Oryctolagus cuniculus: one gene and its partner. The protein of the gene in region 2 interacts with the protein of the main gene of each other region in a pairwise test. Links are inferred from orthologs where the notes say so. Each region holds a gene or a part of one and is shown on either strand. Other genes may lie near its edges.

The links. The genes of interacting proteins can lie anywhere in the genome.
Region 1: the proteins of SNRPN (region 2) and SNRPD3 interact in a two-hybrid assay, tested with the Homo sapiens proteins (2 studies listed by BioGRID, with this or other methods). The link is inferred for Oryctolagus cuniculus from reciprocal best matches to the Homo sapiens genes SNRPN and SNRPD3.

What each region holds. Positions count from the first base shown.
Region 1 is NC_091452.1:31,109,290-31,118,952, reverse strand, and holds the start of SNRPD3 (small nuclear ribonucleoprotein Sm D3), read left to right. Parts: upstream 1-3,798; 5' UTR 3,799-3,912; intron 3,913-5,650; 5' UTR 5,651-5,668; coding exon 5,669-5,794; intron 5,795-9,663. Other genes in the region: protein GUCD1, read right to left, coding at 3,473-3,683. UniProt on the Homo sapiens protein: Plays a role in pre-mRNA splicing as a core component of the spliceosomal U1, U2, U4 and U5 small nuclear ribonucleoproteins (snRNPs), the building blocks of the spliceosome.
Region 2 is NC_091443.1:13,807,293-13,816,959, reverse strand, and holds the start of SNRPN (small nuclear ribonucleoprotein-associated protein N), read right to left. Parts: upstream 4,766-9,667; 5' UTR 4,746-4,765; exon of another isoform or gene 4,720-4,745; intron 4,149-4,719; exon of another isoform or gene 4,113-4,148; intron 2,573-4,112; exon of another isoform or gene 2,501-2,572; intron 259-2,500; 5' UTR 114-258; coding exon 111-113; intron 1-110. Other genes in the region: SNURF (SNRPN upstream reading frame protein), read right to left, coding at 4,766-4,871, 9,215-9,310.

The DNA.
Region 1 (9,663 bases), on a different chromosome or scaffold from region 2:
ACACTGGCCACAGCCTTGATCTTGGGACTTTCCAGTCTCCCAAACCGAGAAAGTCAGTTTCTGTAGTTTAAAGATCACCCGGTCACAGACTAAAACAACAGGGAATTTGCTAATCCCAGGCCCTGGGGTCTGAGGCTTCGTAGTAAATATGGAAAGAAATGCAAGAGGGTGCCCATGCTGTGGCGCAGAGAGTTAAAGGCCTGGCCTGCAGTGCCAGCATCCCATATGGGCGCCAGTTCGAGTCCCGGCTGCTCCACTTCCAATCCAGCTCCCTGCTAATGCACCTGGGAGAACAGTGAAGGAGGGCCCAGGTCCTTGGCTCCTGCTCCCATGCGGGTGACCCAGAAGAAACTCCTGGCTCTTGACTTTGGCCTGGCATAGCCCCGAATGTTGCAGGCATTTGGGAAGTGAAATAGCAGATTCATCTCTCTCTCTGTAACTCTACCTTTCAAATAAAATACATCTTAAAAAAAAAAAAAAAAAAAGAGGTGTAAAAACAAAAAAGGAAATGAAGCAGTCACGGTGCATTAGGCTCTGGGGACACACAGGGGACCCAAGGACCCCAGCCCTGACCTCCAGGGTCTCCTATTCTAAACCAGTTCCCTGGAGTGGGCTGGGGGTGGGGCAAGAGTTCTCTGCGGGGTGAAGAATCCCTCCACTGTGCCTATCAACTGCCTTTTTGTTTTTTTTCCCTGCACAGGCTGGTAACTCCCCAGGCTCTGCTCTTACATAACCCTTGGTCTGCAGTGTTGTCTCCCATCACAGGCCGCCCGGAAGTTCCGGGCCTCTCCCTCCCGGGGAAGGGGGGGCCCGCAACGTGGAGTCCTCCAGGGGGCATCTGATTGCCCCACTAGATGGAAGGAAGACTTCCTTGGCGGTGGGCGGGGACATTCGCCTCCACTTGGCCCTCAGCCCATAGCAGGCATGCAGACACGCTTGGTGAATGGAAGAGGCTTTCTCCAGAAACACTTTATCTCTTAACATGCCCACGCCAGTCTGTCACTACAGTGCACTCCCCTGGCCCCTCCGTCCTCCCCCACCCGCCCCAGTTTCCAGACTATTCCTCCACCCCAGGCTCTCTCTCTCCAGCCTGGAGCCTGAGTTCTGGCACTGACTGGCTGGGCCACCTCCTGCCAGGCTATGACCCTGCCTGTGGCCTCTGGCTTCCCCTACCCCCAGCTGGAAAATGTGGTACAGGAGAACTGCTCTCTGAGGACACTCAACTCCTCTCCTGTTCTTGTCCTCAGCCCTAGAATCCCTTGATCTGAGGCCAGCGCTGTGGCGTAGCGGGTAAACCCGCTTCCTGCAGTGCCAACATCGCATATGGTCGCCAGTTCGAGTCCCGGCTGCTCCTCTTCCAGTCCAGCTCTCTGCTGTGGCCTGGGAAAGCAGTGGAAGATGGTCCAAGTCCTTGGGCCCCTGCACCCACGTGGGAGACCCAGAAGAAGCTCCTGGCTCCTGGCTTGGTTTCAGCACAGCTCCAGCCGTTGCTGCCATTTGGGGAGTGAACTAGCAGATGGAAGACCTCTCTCTCTGCCTCTGCCTCTCTGTAACTCTGCCTTTTGAATAAAATAAATCTTAAAAAACAAAACATGAATCCGTTGATCCTAGGGTTCCCACAGGGCTAAACACCCCCCACGTGGCCATCCTCAGTCTTGGCACAGGCTGATCCGCCCACAGGGACCCGGATGCTTCTGCAGAGGGTGATAAGGGTAGGCGAGGCCTCTCGGCATTTGTCCTGATAACAGCTTAAGCTTTAGAGACAGCGCCAGATGTTGACATTCGTCCGGAGGCAAGCGTCTGCCTGGGAGGCCCCCGGCCTGGCTTCGGTCAGTGGCTGTTGCCCAACAGCCAAGGAAGGAAGGCAGTCCACTGACTGTGGATACGGGTCTGCAAAACAGCAACCGGCACCAGTGACCAGCTTCACTGGGCTGTTACGAGGACTGCGAGGGCACTGCAGGTAAACATTTGAACACAACGCCTGCTTCCTGGACTGCTCCCTCCCAACATAAGCCCTGACTCCTCGGGGGCTCAGGAGCCGCACCACTCTTGCCCAAGACCAGAAAGAACTGGAAGGGTAGGACTCTAAATCCCCAGGTGACATCAGGCCCAATGTCACGCTGCCGCCACCAAAGAGATCACTCCTGGCAGTCGCGGTCCCCCCTATTGCTCCACCTCTCTCCCACGAGTGCGCCCCTCGGAACCTGCCGGGGCACTGTCCCTTTCTCATCAACTCTGAGCTGCAGGAAGCCGACTTCCAACCTCCCCTACTTCTTGGACAAGCAAACTGAGGCCCAGGGCACTGAGCGGTATTCTCAGGCTCCAGCCCAGAGGGGCTCAGGTTACCTTGGGGCAGAAGGAACCAGAGAATGGTAACCGTAGCAAGCAAACAAGACTAGCTACGTCCTGCAAGCTAAGGGAAGGGCCCACCCAGGTCCCTGCCCACCCAGGTTCAGTTCCCCCAAGAGAGCGGACTCTCCCAAGGCGGCTACAGGAGGACTTTTGCGTAGTTGGCACCCTCTCCACCCGGGGCCCTCCCACGTGACCGCCAGCACAGCTGACTGGGGTCCCTGCCCTGTTAGTATCAGGAAACCCCAGCTGACCAGAGGCTGGGGGAAGGGAGAAGAGCCCGAGGCAAGGGTGTCCACCTGGCCATGATTTCGCTACAGCTCCACAGCCTGGGCAGAGACGGCCAGGGACGCGCGCGGATGGACCCTGCTCCGCGCTAGGGCGGGGTCCCCCTCATTCCCCGGGGCTGAGGGCTGGGCCCTCAGAGAGAGGCACTGACCCGGCTCGAGCGGCGGCCCCGCTGCCTCCGCCTCCGTCCTCATGACCCGCGCAGCACGGGGCGCCCATGGCCCCGGCCCGCTGCGGGCTGCAGCTTCGGCTTCAGCTGGCGCAGGAGCGCAGCCAATGCGTGTCGAACGCCGTAGCCGCCGCCGCCACCGCCACAGCGGGGAGAAGCGGAGGCGGCGGCCGGGCAGCCCCAAGCCCCGCCCCAGCCACTCCAGGTCTTGGATCCGGAGGCCCCGCCCCTCCCCTAATCCCCGCCCCTTCCCAGTCCCAGACTTCGATTCCTAGAGGCTTCCAGCCTCATGATTTAAGCCCGGCCTGGCCATTCACAGTCTCGGTTTCTGGTAGCTCCGCCCCCTTACCGAATCCTCGCGCAGACGCGCGGGCCCTTCCTTCGCTCGGTCCCCCGGAAGCTCCGCCCCTTCTGAGCCCCTCCCCGAGGGCTCGGCGCAGCGCAAACACTGGCTCCCCAGGGGCTCTTTCCCTCAGCAAGCCCCGCCTCTGCCAGGCCCCACCCCTTTGCCGGCTTCAGCTGTAAGCCGGCTCCGGCCCTGTGATTGCCTAGGGTCCAGGCAACCGTACTCTGATCTCTTTAGTGCTGAGCCGGCCCCTGCTCCACTTGGTACCTCAGTTTCTCTGTCCAGACACGACACCTCCCCTCTCTGAGAGTTCCCGTTACCTGGCAGTGCCGGGTTCCAAAGATTAAATTGTGAGGGGAGGTCCCAGCCCTCATTCCCACTTCCTGCTGCCCCGGATCCGAGGACCCAGGCTGTAGATCCCCTCCTTGTCGTCCAGCCAGTCTTTTGTGAGGGGTGCTTGGAAGCGCAAGCCCCCCTCTCCCGTTTCGGGCCCCCGCGTCGGGGCTTCCGGCGGCCCCCGGGCCCTGTCATCAGCCCTCTCTTCCGGCGCCGGAACTATCGTACCTGGGTCCGCGTTTCCCAGCCGGCGGAGTAAGGAGGAAGCGGAGACGAGCTCGCGCTCTGGGACGGTCCCCGCGCGCGGCATTCTGGGAGCGCGTGGTATTCTGGGAGTGCAAGGCCCGCCATTCGCCCCGCTCACGCCTTCTCTCTCGCAGTTGTTGTCGCAGCACCGAAGAGGAGGAAGAAGGGGCTCGAGCCGGTGAGTAGGGGCCGGGGACGGGAAAGGGGAGGCCTAGGCGCTCGTGAGGGATCGGGGGCTGGGGCAGGACGCGCTGCAAGGAACCGCGCAGGGCTCCGGGAGGGAAGGAAGCGGGAAGCCGGGACACCCAGACACCCGCGTCGCCTCGCCTGAGCCTGGGGAGTGAGTTCGTTACCTCCCCCTCGTTTCTGGCTGCTTAGCCTCGTCCCTGAACTCCATCGGCGTCATCCTTGGCCTCCAGCCCCCTTTTCCGGCGCTGATGCAGCCCCTCGTGCTTTCCACGCCATTGCAAAAGCGTTTTCCGAAGTTCCTCTGCTTCTGAACTGTGTGTTCGATTTGGCCTGTAAACGCTGATACCTTTCCATTGGGTCGTTCCTTCCTTGAGATCCCGCGCTGGTTCCGTGCTCTCTGAAACGTAACATTCCAGCTCTGGCGGCGGAGGGCTGGGGATCCTCACGGAGCGAGCCTGGCTGCCCTGTCGTGTTCTCCCTTATTTCGTGCCAGCCTTGCGTCCTTACCTGGCTCAATAAAAACTCCACTGCTTGTCTCTCAACTACGTCGGCAGATCCTTGTGTTTTTCCTCCAAGATAAGCAGTTTCCTACACGTTGTCCCTTTGTGACCGCTTTGCTGTTTTCTCTTTAGCTTTAACAGTAAAGCGAATGGAAAGTCAGAGGCTGAAATAAAAACACAGCCTCCTCTCCTGGATATGTCTGGGTCCTCTGGTTGGTTGGTTTGTTTGTAAGATTCATTTATCTGAAAGGCAGAGTTACACAGTCGGGGTCGGGGGCAGGCAGAGAGAGAGATCTTCCATCCCCTGGTTCACTCCCTCAAATGACTGCAACGGCTGGAGCTGGGGGCCAGGCCAGAGTCAGGATCTTCTCCCCGGTCTCCCACAGGTTCAGGGGCCCAAGCATTTGGCCCATCCTCTCCTGCTTTCCCAGGCTATCAGCAGAGATCTGGAGTGGCAGTAGACAGCCGGGACTTGAACCAGTGCCCCTGTGGGATGCCGGTGTACCCGCTGCACCCCATCGTGGTTTTCAGGATGCAGTCACCCACAGCTGTGGATAGGCAGATGTGTTGCTCAGCATGGACGTTCCGAGCGCCTCTCTCCCAACACACAGACCACATTGGTCACTGGTTATCTTGGCCAAGGAAAAGGGACATGAGGGGCCAGTGTTGTGGGGCAGCTGGTTAAGCTGCCACCTGTGACGCTGGCACCCACGTGAGAGTGCCAGGCTGATTCTCAGCTGCTCCATTTCCTATCCAACTCCCTGCCAGTGCTCCTGGGAGGCAGCAGATAATGGCCTGAGGTTTGAGCCCCTTGCCACCCACATAGGGAGACCCAGATGCAGTTCCAGGCTTTGCAGCCATTTGGGGAGTGGCCCAGCGGATGGAAGATCTCTCTCTCTCTCTCTCTGTATCTGTATCTGTGTCCCTTACTCTGTCTCTAGGTAAAGGGACATGGGAGCAGGTGAGGAGTAGGGAGGTAGGTGGGAGATTCTTTTCCTTTCCGTGAGCTTTCCTTCTGTCCAGCACGCTGTCTCTCCCCTCTTCATATTGTGTGTATTTGCCAGGAAGGCTCCTCCAAGCCAGGAGCTGAGCTGCTCTTGTGTAGAAAATGCAGCTTTGGCACCGGTGTTAGGTTTTATGGGGTCCAGGCCTTGGGGAGACATGGTGCGCACCACACGCGGCCTCTGGCTCTGAAGGCTGGGCTCACTGCTGTGTCTCCCACCACAGCACTCTCCTCCTGCCGAGATGTCCATCGGTGTGCCGATCAAAGTCCTGCACGAGGCCGAGGGCCACATCGTGACCTGCGAGACCAACACCGGCGAGGTGTATCGGGGCAAGCTCATCGAGGCAGAAGACAACATGAACTGCCAGGTACGGGAGGCTGGCGGCGTCTCCATTGTGCCCGACGTGTGGCAGGCGCTGCCGCGGGCTCCGGGACTGTGGGCCTGAGCAAGAGACAGTACTGGGGCAAAGAACCGTATGGAGATTTGGAATAGTTAACTTTGGCCTTTGCCTTCTCCATCCCATAATTGTCCCCTCCCAACTCCCCATTTTAAAGATTTATTATTTATTTGAAAGGCAGAGAAAGAGAGGGAGAGATCTTCCATCTACTGGTTCACTCCCCCAAATGGCCACAGTGGTTGGATCTGGGCTGATCTGAAACTGGGAGCCGGGAGCTTCTCCCAGGACTCCCACGTACAGGGACCCAAGCACTTGGGCCATCTTCTACTGCTTTCCCAGGTGCATTAGCAGGCTCAGAAGTGAAGTAGCTGGGACTTGAACCGGTGCCCGTATGGGATTCCAGTGTTGCAGGCAGTGGCTTCCCCTGCTACACCACAGTGCCAGCCTCTCCCATGTTTTGGGGCCTGTTTGAGAGAAATGGTGTTACCACCTTCAGCAGAATTCTTCAGGTTCAGGGCCATTACCCTCCCACCCCCACCACCCCACACAGTGAGCAGAAACCTGTGTGCTCTTTTTCTTAGAAGAGGGGTCATGTTTGATTACTGCAGCTGCCTAGTGAGGTAAATGAGTTTGGTGATAGTCTCGGCATCCAGGAAAGAGGGAGAATGTGGTTAAAGGACTCATCTACTGAATATTGCTCTGCTAATAAATGATAGAGCAACTTTCTAACGTGGTGTCTTTCTCAAAGCACTGCTTTTTACATAGTCAGGTAAATTTAAAACAAAAAGATTTATTTGAAAGGCAGAGTTACAGCGAAAGAGTGGGAGAGATAGCTTCCATCTGCTGGTTCACTTCCCAAATGGCCGCAATGGCCGGAGCTGAGCCAAGCCAAAGCCAAGAGCTTCTTCTGGGTCTCCCACATGGATGCAGGGGCCTGAGCACTTGGGCCATCTTCTACTGCTTTCCCAGGCCATAGCAGAGAGCTGGATCAGAAGTGGAGCAGCCGGGACTCAAACCGGCGCCCACATGGGATGCTGGCACTGCAGGTGGCGGCTTTACCTGCTATGCTGCAGCACCATCAAGTATTTTTTATAGCATTATTTTCCAGAGTGTCAGCACATGTTCTTTTTTTGTTTAAAATTTTATTTATTTATTTGAATGGCAGAGGGAGAGAGATCTTGCATCTGTTGGTTTATTCCCCATATATTCAAAGTAGCTGGAGCTGAGCCAGGCCAAGGCAGGAGCCTAGAACTCTACCCAGTTCTCCCACGTGGGTGGCAGAGGCCCAAGCACTTCCAAGGTCTCCCACTACCTTCAGAGGCGTGTTAGCAGGGAACGGATCAGAAGCATGACAACCACAACTTGAACCAGCCTTCTTTTTTTTTTTTTTTTTTTTTTTTAATTTGACAGGTAGAGTTATAGACAGTGAGAGAGAGAGACAGAAAGGTCTTCTATTGGTTCACCCCCTAAATGGCCGCTACGGCCAGCACTGCACGGATCCAAAGCCAGAAGCCAGGTGCTTCCTCCTGGTCTCCCATGCTGGGTGCAGGTGCCCAAGCACTTGGGCCATCCTCCACTGCCCTCTGGGCCATGGCAGAGAGCTGGACTGGATGAGGAGCAATTGGGACTAGAACTCGGCGCCCATATGGGATGCCAGCACTGCAGGTGGAGGATTAACCAAGTGAGCCACGGCACTGGCCCCTGAACCAGCCTTCTGATACGAGATGCTGACATCGCAATCCGCTGCTTAACCCACTGCACCACAATGCCCTTTATTCTTTAAACCGTTGGTTAGGAGCCCAAGCTCTGGGAGCAGGAATTTTGCCTGATGGTTAAGATGCCAGTTGGGATTTCAGTATCTCGTGTCTAAACACCTGTATTTGAGCGCCGCTTCCACTCCTGGTTCCTTCTAACTGTGCACCCTGGTGGGCAAGAAACTGAGTCCATAGCACCCACCTGAGAGACCTGGATTGAGTTCTTGGTTCCAGGTTTTGCCCTGGGCCAACCTTTTGCGGGCATTTTTGGAGAGTGAACCAGTGGATGGGAGCTCTCTCTCTTTCTCAAGTAAATATGTTTTGTTTTGTTTTGTTTTTTAAGGAACTTGGGTTTTGGAATCAGAAATTGGAGAGACATGACTCTGAACCCTGGCTATATGACCTCAGGTTTAGTAGCCACATACCTTCCTCATCAGTGAAATGGGGGTGCTGCTATTTTGGGTGCCCTGAGACATAGCTGCTAGGACAACTGGATGTGTGAGATAGTGGAAAATGACAGGGAGAATGAGAAGAGGGAGCAGAACTGTCAGACCCGGAAGCTGGTTTGCCCGCGTAAAGGAAGGAGGATTGAGCGGGGAGAGCCTCAGACCCAGCACGGCCCTGAGGAAGCCTCAGCAAGGCAGAGGCTGCTCCTCAGGGGGGTCTGGCCTGGGGCAGGAATGGCCTGGGCTCTCGTGCCTGTGCTGTGGGCCAGCATTGGCTGGCTCCCCAGGGAGGTGGGGCCCTCAGCGTGCTGTGGTGGATTCCAGAGGCGTCAGCTTGCTCTCTGTTGAGAGGTCTGAGCACGCCCAACACCACCTCAGGAATAGCACCCACACCCCAGGGCAGTGTCAGAGTTCAGCTGAGTCCTGTCTGCAGTAAGCTAGCTCGGGGCCCCCCATGTTGTGAGTGTCCAAGGTACCATGCTCCAGGGAGTTGAAGTGCATTACCCAAGGTCAGATGTCTTGACTGGCCATTGCTGTGCAGGGTTTGCTTGTGATTTCTCTTTAGCTTTGTGCAGCTCCCATCTTTCTGTCAGGTTGACCAGCTCACAGTTTCCTGGTGCAGAGGGAGGCAGAGATCTGGTGACTTAGGTTTATCTCCTCACCGTTGGTGCCGTAGACGTGGGTGGGTGGGCTCTGACAGGCACAGCTGGCGTTGCTCTAAAGAGCCTGGCCTATGGCACGCTCTGCCCGTGTGAGGTGCTGCTGTCGTCGATCCAGTCCTTTGACTTAGGCATCCTCGTCAGCTTTAAGCTACTTGAATTTAGTGAGTAGAATGCAGGGGTTAATGGTAGTGAGTAATTCTTTTATTTTATTTATTTTCTTTTTTTTTTTTTTTTAAGATTTATTTATTTGAAGGAGGCAGTGACAGCATTTCCACCCACTGGTTCACTCTCCAAATGGCTGTATCGGCCGAGGCTAGGCTAGGTCCAAGCCAGGAGCCTGGAGCTCCATCCTGGTCTCCCATGTGGGTGGCAGGGGCCCAGGTCCTTTTCCATCATGCTCAGCTTTCCCAGTGCATTAGTGAGGAGCTGGATGGGAAGTGGAGCAGCTGGGACTCCAGCCGGCACTCTGCGGGGGGCTGCCGGCATGGTAGCTGGCAGCTTAGCTTGCTGTGCCACAGTACCAGCCCCAGTGAGAGATCCTTAGTGTATAAGTTCAACAGAACGATTTATTCGGACAATTTGCTGAGCTTCCAGGGCTCCAGGCATCCTGCCTGTAACATGAAGGTGTTTGACCGAGAGACCTTAGTGGTCTCTCAAAGGGACAGCCAACATGACACCAAGCGCATAGTAGACCTTGGCGGTGTGACTGAGCTCACCCTGACCTCCCTCACCCACTCTGTCATCCAAATCAGGAAAGAAAATGGAAACTTGGGGGCCAGCGTTTGTTGCAGTGGTTAAGACGTGTTTTGGGATGCCTGGGTTTAAATTCCAGCTCCTAGGGGCTGGTGCTGTCGCGTAGTGGGTAAAGCCGTCTCCCGCAGTGCTGGCATCCCATATGGGCTCCAGTTCGAGTCCTGGCTGCTCCACTTCCAATCCATCTCCCTGCTATGGCCTGGGAAAACAGTAGAAGATGGCCC
Region 2 (9,667 bases):
ATTTATTCAAATTTTCAGAACCCAAAGGCACCCACACACAACTGCAAACTACTATTTGATGCCCTTATAACAACTTACCACCCCCCCATCTTAATACATAAACATCTTACCATGATTGCTGTTCCACCAAATTCAATGTCCAAAGTAAAATTTCAGGACCCTTAAGACCTAAGGGAAGGCTATAGATAAAGGTATGATGGCAGGTTCTCCTAGAAACAATGCAAGCTGGGCAGAAGCTTCACAAACAGTAGATGGAGCCTGCAGAGGAAAGCATGTTACAGCTGCACTACAATCTACCATGTTTTAAAATAGGCAGACAATTTTGCACAGATATCACTGCAAAACACATTCAAAAAATCCTTTATCCCATGACTCATTCACTACTCCTTCATCTTTAATTCCCACATTCGACATAGCTAGCACTGATGAAACTCACTAAATTATATTTTACCAGTAACTTTCATTTAAACATCTCAAAATTTTACTATTCTTCCTTTCTACCTTTAAGGTTATTGCTTTACTCCCACACCTAAAATTAATTAAGTATCTCACGTATTTATAACACAAATTATTCCTGAGTTAGTTCAAGATTTTGTTGTGGGGCCAGCACCCTGGCTCACTTGGTTAATCCTCTGCCTGAGGCGCCGCGCCAGCATCCCATATGGGCGCCGGGTTCTAGTCCCGGTTGCTCCTCTTCCAGTCCAGCTCTCTGCTGTGGCCCAGGAAGGCAGTGGAGGATGGCCCAAGTGTTTGGGCCTCTGCACCCCCATGGGAGACCAGGAGGAGGCACCTGTCTGCTGGCTTCAGACCCATACAGCGCCGGTTATGGTGGCCATTTGGGGAGTCAACTAACGGAAGGAAGACCTTGCTCTCTGTTTCTGTCTATAAATCTACCTGTCAAATAAATAAATTAAAAAAAAAGATTTTGTTGTTGATACTTTTTGTTTGAACAACCTAAATATTCAGCTGTAATATTCTTTCCTTCCCAAAGAGCACCTTCAAATGTAGTCTTCCCTCACCTAGAACCAAATGTATTATGAACGTGCTTAAGACTTTCTATGTCAAAGGCTGATACATAACTACTTAACAGAAGCTCATTGACAGCTTTCTTGTTTATCAAAGCGTCATGCATAACAAATTAACATTTTCACCATTACTTTTTGTAAAAAAAAAAAATGCTATCAATATGGCAATCAAATTTAGCCAGCATCTTATTCAGTGGCTGAAACTGCTGATGGTACAAAGAGACACAAATTATATTATTTTTGAGTAGGAATTTGGAGTTAAATATAAAAATAGAATCATATTAAAAGCTAAATTCCACTAGGATTGTTCTTCACTGTTTCCAATAGATAAAATTTTGAAACAGCACATTAAATGTTAGGTATATTCTGAGTACTTCATGGTTTGAAAATAATCATTAAAATCATGACTATAAACTACATGAACACCAAAACAATAAAGTAAAATAAGTTTTGAGCACATATGGAATTTTATGCCAACATATAAAAGAACATAAAAATACGTGATAACTCTTTCCATAAAGTTCTAAGATGTTTAAGGGATGTTTCCTATAGTTCTAGAAGCTTAATTGCAGTAAGACATTCCATGAGATCTTGAGAGTTCTTAGATCTTAAGATCCAAGAAATCCCTAACAATTTTTCAGTATACCCAACAACCTACATTTTCCACATACAAGCTTTCATGCATTCTTTTTAAAGTTTATGGTAAACAATCTGCTTATTCCCTCAATATACTGTCTATACTGCTCTGTAAGACGACTGATAACAGATTATACTATCTATGTACCTACTTATATCTACAGAAATGGCATCAAGAATACTCCAGTGCCCAAGATCCAATGTTTGTACATGAGGTAACACATTATCTAAAATTCATGAGAAAATCACAGGCAACTATTCAAACAAGGAGACTGAACTACTACTTCAATCATGTGTAATCTCTGACCCAAAATAACATAATGAATAAGAGAAGTTTAAGCCTGTGAATAGATGTCCTGAACAATAAAGAATGGGAGAATATACAACTAATTTGAAAATATTCTTCCACAGAGCACGGCCAACTAAATACCACATACTTTCCTTCATTGGAAGTGTTTATTTAAAAACTAAGAGTTGTAAAGAGAAACTAACCACTTTTAAAGTTTGTATTAATTATTTGAGACAGAAAGACACAGAGAGCTCTCATAAATTGGAATCCAGGTCTCCTTTGTGGGTGGCAGGAACCCAATAACTCATGCCATCACCACTCTCTACTAGAGCTGTTTTAGTACTAAGCTGGAGTCAGGAGTCAGAGCTGTGAATCAAATCCAGGTACTCTGATACTGAACACAAATGTCCAAATACCTACCTCTAGTCTAGGAATGTTCACATCAATCAAGACTTCCTGTGATGCATTTAAAAATCATTCCAGGGGAAATCATCTGGCATAGTAGTTAAGATACCATTAGGATAACTGGATACCACATCATAGTACCTACATTGGTGTCCTGGCTTCACTCCATATTCCAGCATTCTGCAAACACTGTATCTTGTGGAGGCTCAAGTATTTGGGTACCTGCAACCTACATGGGAGACCCAGATTGAATTCCTGACTGCTGGTTTTGGCCTGTCCCACCCTGCCTGTTTCAGTTATTTAGGAAGTGAATCAGTGGATGAGATCTCTGTCCATTCGTTCATCTTTGTATTTCAAACCATAAATATTTTTAAAAAGAAAAAGATTCACTCTAATATTATACCCACACTTGGATACTTATCCTTTTGTACCAAGAAACAAAACTAGAGGTTCAATATCCCTTTTCCAAGATGCTTGGAATCAGACATATCTTGCATTTCAGATTATTTTATACGTGATTATTGGCATCTGCAAAATAATGTTTCATATACAACTTACCCACATAGCATACAGTCATTTTATATGGTACTTTCGTGCATGAAAAGAGTCATGGTGTTTGGAATTTTCCACCAGGGGTGTCAGTGCTCAAAAAATTTTGTATTATTTTCAGTTACAAGTTTGAGAATTAAGGATGCTCAATCTGTAATATTCATAAATTTACTTTCCAATTTTCCTGGCTATCACATTGTTCAGATGTTTATAATTAAAATAGGAAGGTATCAATTATTAAAGTACCCTTCAAGTGAAATCCATATGATTTCCAGACCCTTCTCTTACTGCAGAAATACCTAGTATTCTACATACTTCATATACAATCTTTCAATAATCCCTTTCTTCAGCACTTTGCTATACCCCTTGGCACCACCGTGGTGTTTTCAATTAATCTGTGTCTCTAAAATAATGATCAGTAGATGTTTTTATATAAAAGAACAAGATATTAAATATTTCATGCTATCCCTATCATCTGATCTGTCAAAAAATTGACACTGTAGTGTCATGTAGCCATGAGCCTTACATAGACATAGCTATAGATCAATAAAAATCTACAAAAATATGTAGTGGGACAGATACTAACTCCTACTCTAATGAAAGCCTAATAGCTATCACTGTTTAGGTGAAACTAGCAGTTGGACACAGAATAACATAGGATATGATTAAATATGAGAAAATGAAATGGTTCTACTGGCAGATGCTAATACGTAATTTAAATAACATACTTAGAAGTTTTCAAGAGTATTCTAACTCAACTGAGAAGCCAAAAAATGTCTAGACACAAAGAAAATCAACTGTGTGTGTGCCTACTCATTGAAAAATGCCCTGAGGGGCAATTTTCAGATTCCCTAGCTTATTTGCAACAAAGTTCATCTTGGAATGTTGGATATTGAGGATTCAACAGGGAGGAGTTCTCAGAAAATATGTCTTCTCAGATTTAAATTCAATATAGTAGCCATAAACAGTCCTAATTAATTCAAGTTGAGGGGCAACATTTCAAAAACAGAAATAAAAATCTAGTAGAGAATTCACCCATATACCCTTTCTGATTCTATTTTCTAAACAGTATATAGCAAATTCTCTGAAATAAGGGCATTCTATTTTTAAAACAGAAAAAAATGAAGTAAAAACAAGGTACTGAATCAATGTGAATAACTTTCTAGAAAATATAAATCAACATAAACAGTAAATAAATCTACATCACATTAAAAATTTATGGATAATCTTTATTGCATTGTCTGCTGATTCCAGTAAGAAATACATTGGTGAAAACAGAAAAGTGAGAAAAAAGACAAAACAATGAAAGAAGTAGTTAGTGAATAACCAAGGAAATATTTAGATTCTCTAATAATCTTGATAATGATGGTATATTCAATAAGTATAAATGATATTATAATTATAATAAGACTGGTAAGTGTATTTTAAATAGCACACTATTTTATGGCAATGAAAACTAATGTTACTTTACAAACTCTTGCAAAATAATTAAATCACTCACAAAGGAGAATTATAAAGCATTAACTAACAGTTTTTTTTTTTTATATATAAGGTAAAGTTGAAAATCAAATAGAACATAAATAAAACTATCCAAAAAGCACACACCACAAAGATTGGGACACAAAAACATTGTCATGGCAGGAACATTAAGGATTTTCTTTTACTCTTTTAAAATCTTTATGTAATTTGCTTTTTTATAAGAAGTATTTATTTTTAAAAAAAAAAGTCTTTTCAAGTGCCCAGATTACTAAATGAACACCAAACACCCTTTTTTTCAATGATTTATTTTCTCATCATTACTACATCAGCTCTAACCTGGTTTTTGCTTAGAAGTCAGCTACCTTGATATTCCAATACTGCTTTAACCACCTCTTGGTGTCTCGGCTAAGAATGCCTGTCTTAGTTCCGCCTGGAAATCCACCACAGGTACTTGCTGCTGTTGAGAACGTCTTGGGTACAACTGACACCTATGATAAGAGCATAGTATACATAAATGACAAAAATATTTATTAATATTAATCATATCAAAGAATACACAGACTCTTCTATTTATGACAATCTGCTTTAATGCTCAGAGAATGCCATTACTTTGTTAGGAAACTATAAAATAAAACAAAAGTCTCTGAACACAAGGATGTGCGAGGAAACAGTGAATACTTACCCAGTCTAGGAATATTTCCAAAGACCCAAAAGACCAAGAGTTGTTAGTTCTGCAGAAAAAGTATCAGCATCATGGCCACTCAATTTACAATCATCCTATGTGGAAACCATCTTTTCTCCCATAGGCTGGGTGAAGAATTTGGTAATGCATTTTCAAGGCAATCATCCATACTGATACTCCTAAAATATCACCACCCGAAAAAAAGCACCTCAAGGGTACAGCTTGTTGAAGAGCTCCAAAACTAGGTAAATCATACATCTATGAATAAGCAGGGCATTTTAAAGAAAAGACCTCAACATACCCCTGTGGATCAGTAACCTGATCCTGAACAGAAGAGATGTAGAAATTTAGTTTGTTATGCAACAAGACATGCCTAGGACACAGGAGGAGAAATCACCAACAATTATGCCCTTGTTGATAAAGGAAAAAAAGAGATAAGAGGAGGCTTCAAAAGTTTCATGGAATATTCACCCTAAGATTTGTTTGTTTATTTGAAAGGCAGAGCAACCAAGAGATGGAGAAAGGTGGAAAGAGATACAGATCGATCCCCGAAATGGCACCAACAGCCAGGTCTGGGCCAGGTTGAAGACAGGAGCCAGGAACACTATCCTAGTCTCACACATGGGTGGCAGAGAACCAAACTGTTGGGTCATCTTCTGCTACCTTCCCAGGCATATTAGCAGGAAGCTGGCTAGGAAAAAAAAAAAAAAAAAAGAGAAGCCAAGACTCAAACCAGCACTCTGATACAGAATGCTGCATGTGTCTAAGCAGCTGCTTAATCTGCTGAGCCAAAAGTCTGCTCCCCACAACAACTTTTAATTCCATTTTTCAACAAACTTTCTGAAGCTTCATCAGTAAACAAAAATATTCATTAGCAGTTGGATTTGGAAATGTGGACAGTGGTAAAAGATTTTCTACTTCATAGTTTTTCAACATTTTCATCACACTGTTGGATGAAGAGTTTAGCAGGCCATGGTCCCTAGTTCAGGGGAGGTAACTTCTAAATTCTAGAAATTTACCCCAAAGGGGGATTATCTTTTTATTCCAAGTGAATTCTTCAGATCACATCTGAGTTTATGCTACTCCGATGACTCAGGATGGTGCCCAGCCCTACCACAAAACACCAAGGTAAGAGGGTAGTGGTTATAATTCTGATATCTTAGTTGGGGGATGGTCAGTGGAAACTGAGCTCAATCACATTACCAAGGATTCAATCAATGTTGACTATAAAATGAAAATACAATGAAATCATTAATATATAAAAGTTCTGCTGGGCTTCCTCGTTGGTGCATCTTGGGAACAGGGAAGCTTTGAATTTGGGACCCTCCTAGGTCTTAACCCATGAGTATGTTCTTTTCAATCATTTTATAATAAAAATTTTACTTCTGTGAGTCATTTTAACAACTTAGAAAATCTGAAGGGGCAGCAGAATCTATTGCCAGTTGTCAAAAGTAGGGGTAGTCTGGGAACTGCAGAGCTTGTAGCTGATGTCTGAATTCAAAGGAGTCTAACAGAGAGATGATACAATCTACCTATGAAGTCTGCATTAAGTCTTGGTTAGTAATTAAGCCTTAGTATCTTAATTACATTCTACACACTGTTGGAATTTCCTATTCCAATCACTGAATAATGGAATCTTAATTTGGCCATTCTCTATTCTGATTTCTGTTACCAAATGGCAACCAAGTCTCTTATCTAATGAAGTCCTATAAAGTGTTTCAGAAAGAAAAAAAAATTCAGCTTCTTAAAACCTATGGGGCCAGAGCCGTGGCTCACTTGGCTGATCCTCTGTCTGCAGCGCCAGCATCCCATATGGGTGCTGGGTTCTAGTCCCAGTTGCTCCTCTTCCAGTCCAGCTCTCTGCTATGGCCCAGGAGGGCAGTGGAGGATGGCCCAGGCGCTTGGGCCCCTGCACCCACATGGGAGACCAGGAAGAAGCTCCTGTATCCTGGCTTCAGATTAGCGTAGCGCCGGCCACAGTGGCCATTTGGGGGGAACCAATGGAAGAAAGACCTTTCTTTCTGTCTCTCACTGTCTAACTCTGTCAAATAAATTAAAAAAAAAAAAAAAAAACTAAAGAGAATTTCCTATTGCATTAACCCTTTGAGTTTAATTGTAACTCAACAAAAGACTAAACATAAGAAAGTAATGTTATTCAATACCAAAGAACAGGAACAGATTTGGTGGTATATCTACTAAGGACAGAATAATCATCGATATTCTAAATGAGAAGAAGGGGGAAAATGAACTTTTATTATGTCCATGTTAATCTGTGGAATATTCTGTTTACATGTTATATTGGCTTTTACTTGTTTTTGGATTTTTTGGAAGGACTACTAATGATAACCTTTTATTGGTCTCTAGGGCAGATACTTTCACAATGCCTCCAGGAAGACTGATAAGCAATACTTATAGTTTGGAAAAAGATGGCAGATTAATAGAGATAAATACTAATGAACATTCATCATATATGTAAAATATTACTATTAAGTGTACCAATCCTAAGCATATGAAACATAAGGCAGACAGTATCTACTGAAACCTTACACATTCCTGCAACCCCTTACACTCAAAAAGAGACAAAGGAGAAAATTAGAGTTTCCCTCCCACCTCATATCCTTCCAATTCAAGAACCTATAATATACAGAAGGTCAGGAAAATTCAAGTTATTTCTTCTTTAAAAGCATCCAAATATTTCCATATATTTGTACAAATAAAACACCAAATGAAGCTTACCTCATCCCAAAACAAGATTAAATATGAGATGATTAGTTGTATTCAATGTCACCGAGGCCATATAGGATAAACTCTTAACAAAACATAAAATACTAACTACATCCCCTCAAGAGACTCTAACCACCATCTTTATCTCCTGTACAATCTCTCTCAATTATCCCTTGGAAACTGTAGGGTATTCCCAGAAGTGCACTGACACTTTTTAAAACTTTGCAATTACTAAAGGGGAAATCAAGATATTATAACAAAATGTAAAATCAAATTATCTATTTTAAAGGACAAACTATCTTTCATAATATACTAATATTTATAAATATTTATAAATAAAATGTAAATATTCCTTTCAAAGTAATTTTCCAAAAGTGTAATTTAAACAATACTTGGAAGAGAAAAATAAAATTGAGGGCAAACAAATAGTCCTTATTCTCCCTAGGTATTTAAAATATGCAAGTCTTTTACAATTTTTGTATATAAAATAAGCACATGAAAATAACACACACAAATTTAATATCTACCTTCTATAATTAAAGTTAGATGAGGAAATTAGTATTAATACACTGATTTTCAGAGCAACCTGCTATCTTGTTAATAGTTAAGAAATACAAACGAAATAATGCATAGTTAGATTAATGATTAAAACAATTATAAGATAGGTATGCACACTGATCTGGAAAAATCCCAAGGAATATCTTCATACAATACATACAGCAGTATCATGCAGGCAATTTTAGAAATGTGTCCCGCCTATTCTCTTCCTCTTCTCTCCCTACTTCCCACATAGACAAACCCACAAGAGCAAGGATGCACAGGTCTGAAGGATAGAGACCAAAGTACTTATAGGTTATCTCTGTGGAGGGAAGGGAAATAAGTTGGTAGAGGCTTTAAAATTTGACTCAATTTTTATGGAAATGTATGTCAGAATTTTAGGGGCAATGATAAAATGCCAAACAGTCACTGTATATACGGCGTTTCTCAGGTCACTGAAATGTTTATGTACTCTTAATTAAAGCTGTCCTTTAGAAACCTAAATTGTGTGACAGCCCCTACATGTATATATTCTAATAAGAGGAAAAATTATGTATACACTAACAGAAAACAAAACCATTATTGCAGAATTAAGAATCAATATAATGTTCCACTAATGCACAGAACATTTTTCAAGCATATAAGTAGTGATTTAAAAATATAAGAAATTGGAAATTGTCCTGTTGAAAGATAAATACAAAAAAGAAAATCCAAGTTGGGCTGGATTAGGACTATGTAATTAAAAACAATTTAATTAAGGATAATTTCATTGTTATATATGCATGTACTTCAATTATCTACATTTTAATCTCTTTATTGCTCACTTTACTCTCTTCCAACTGAAACAGGAGTCAACATGAACTACTTTTCAACCCAGTGTATACTCACTCTTGATTGCTCAATGAAGCAGTCCTCCTACGTTTAACTTGGACTTCCACTTCTGGCACGTGCTGCTCTGTAGTCCGTCTCAGGTGTAAGCGATCCCTAAAATAGGAGGATTTGTTTGATCAACTTCTTGAATTCTGAAACAACTATTTATGTAAGGTATATATTTGGAGCTACATTTAAGATGGTGGACTTTTAAGAAAAAATACCCCAATATTCAAAATAACAAGTATTAGATCATCACTCTTTAAACAGAATGAATGTTGCAGCAACTTTCTCATTTTACAAACCCATCATGTCAGAAAACTAGGCTGAACCAAAAAGTTAGGAAATAAGCTAAATGAATATATTCACTACTATGTATCTTCACATACACTTAAAAATGAGAATTAAAAAATTAGTGGAAAATGGAAAATGTTTATTGTGGGGTACAAAAATTGAAATCCATGCAGTCTT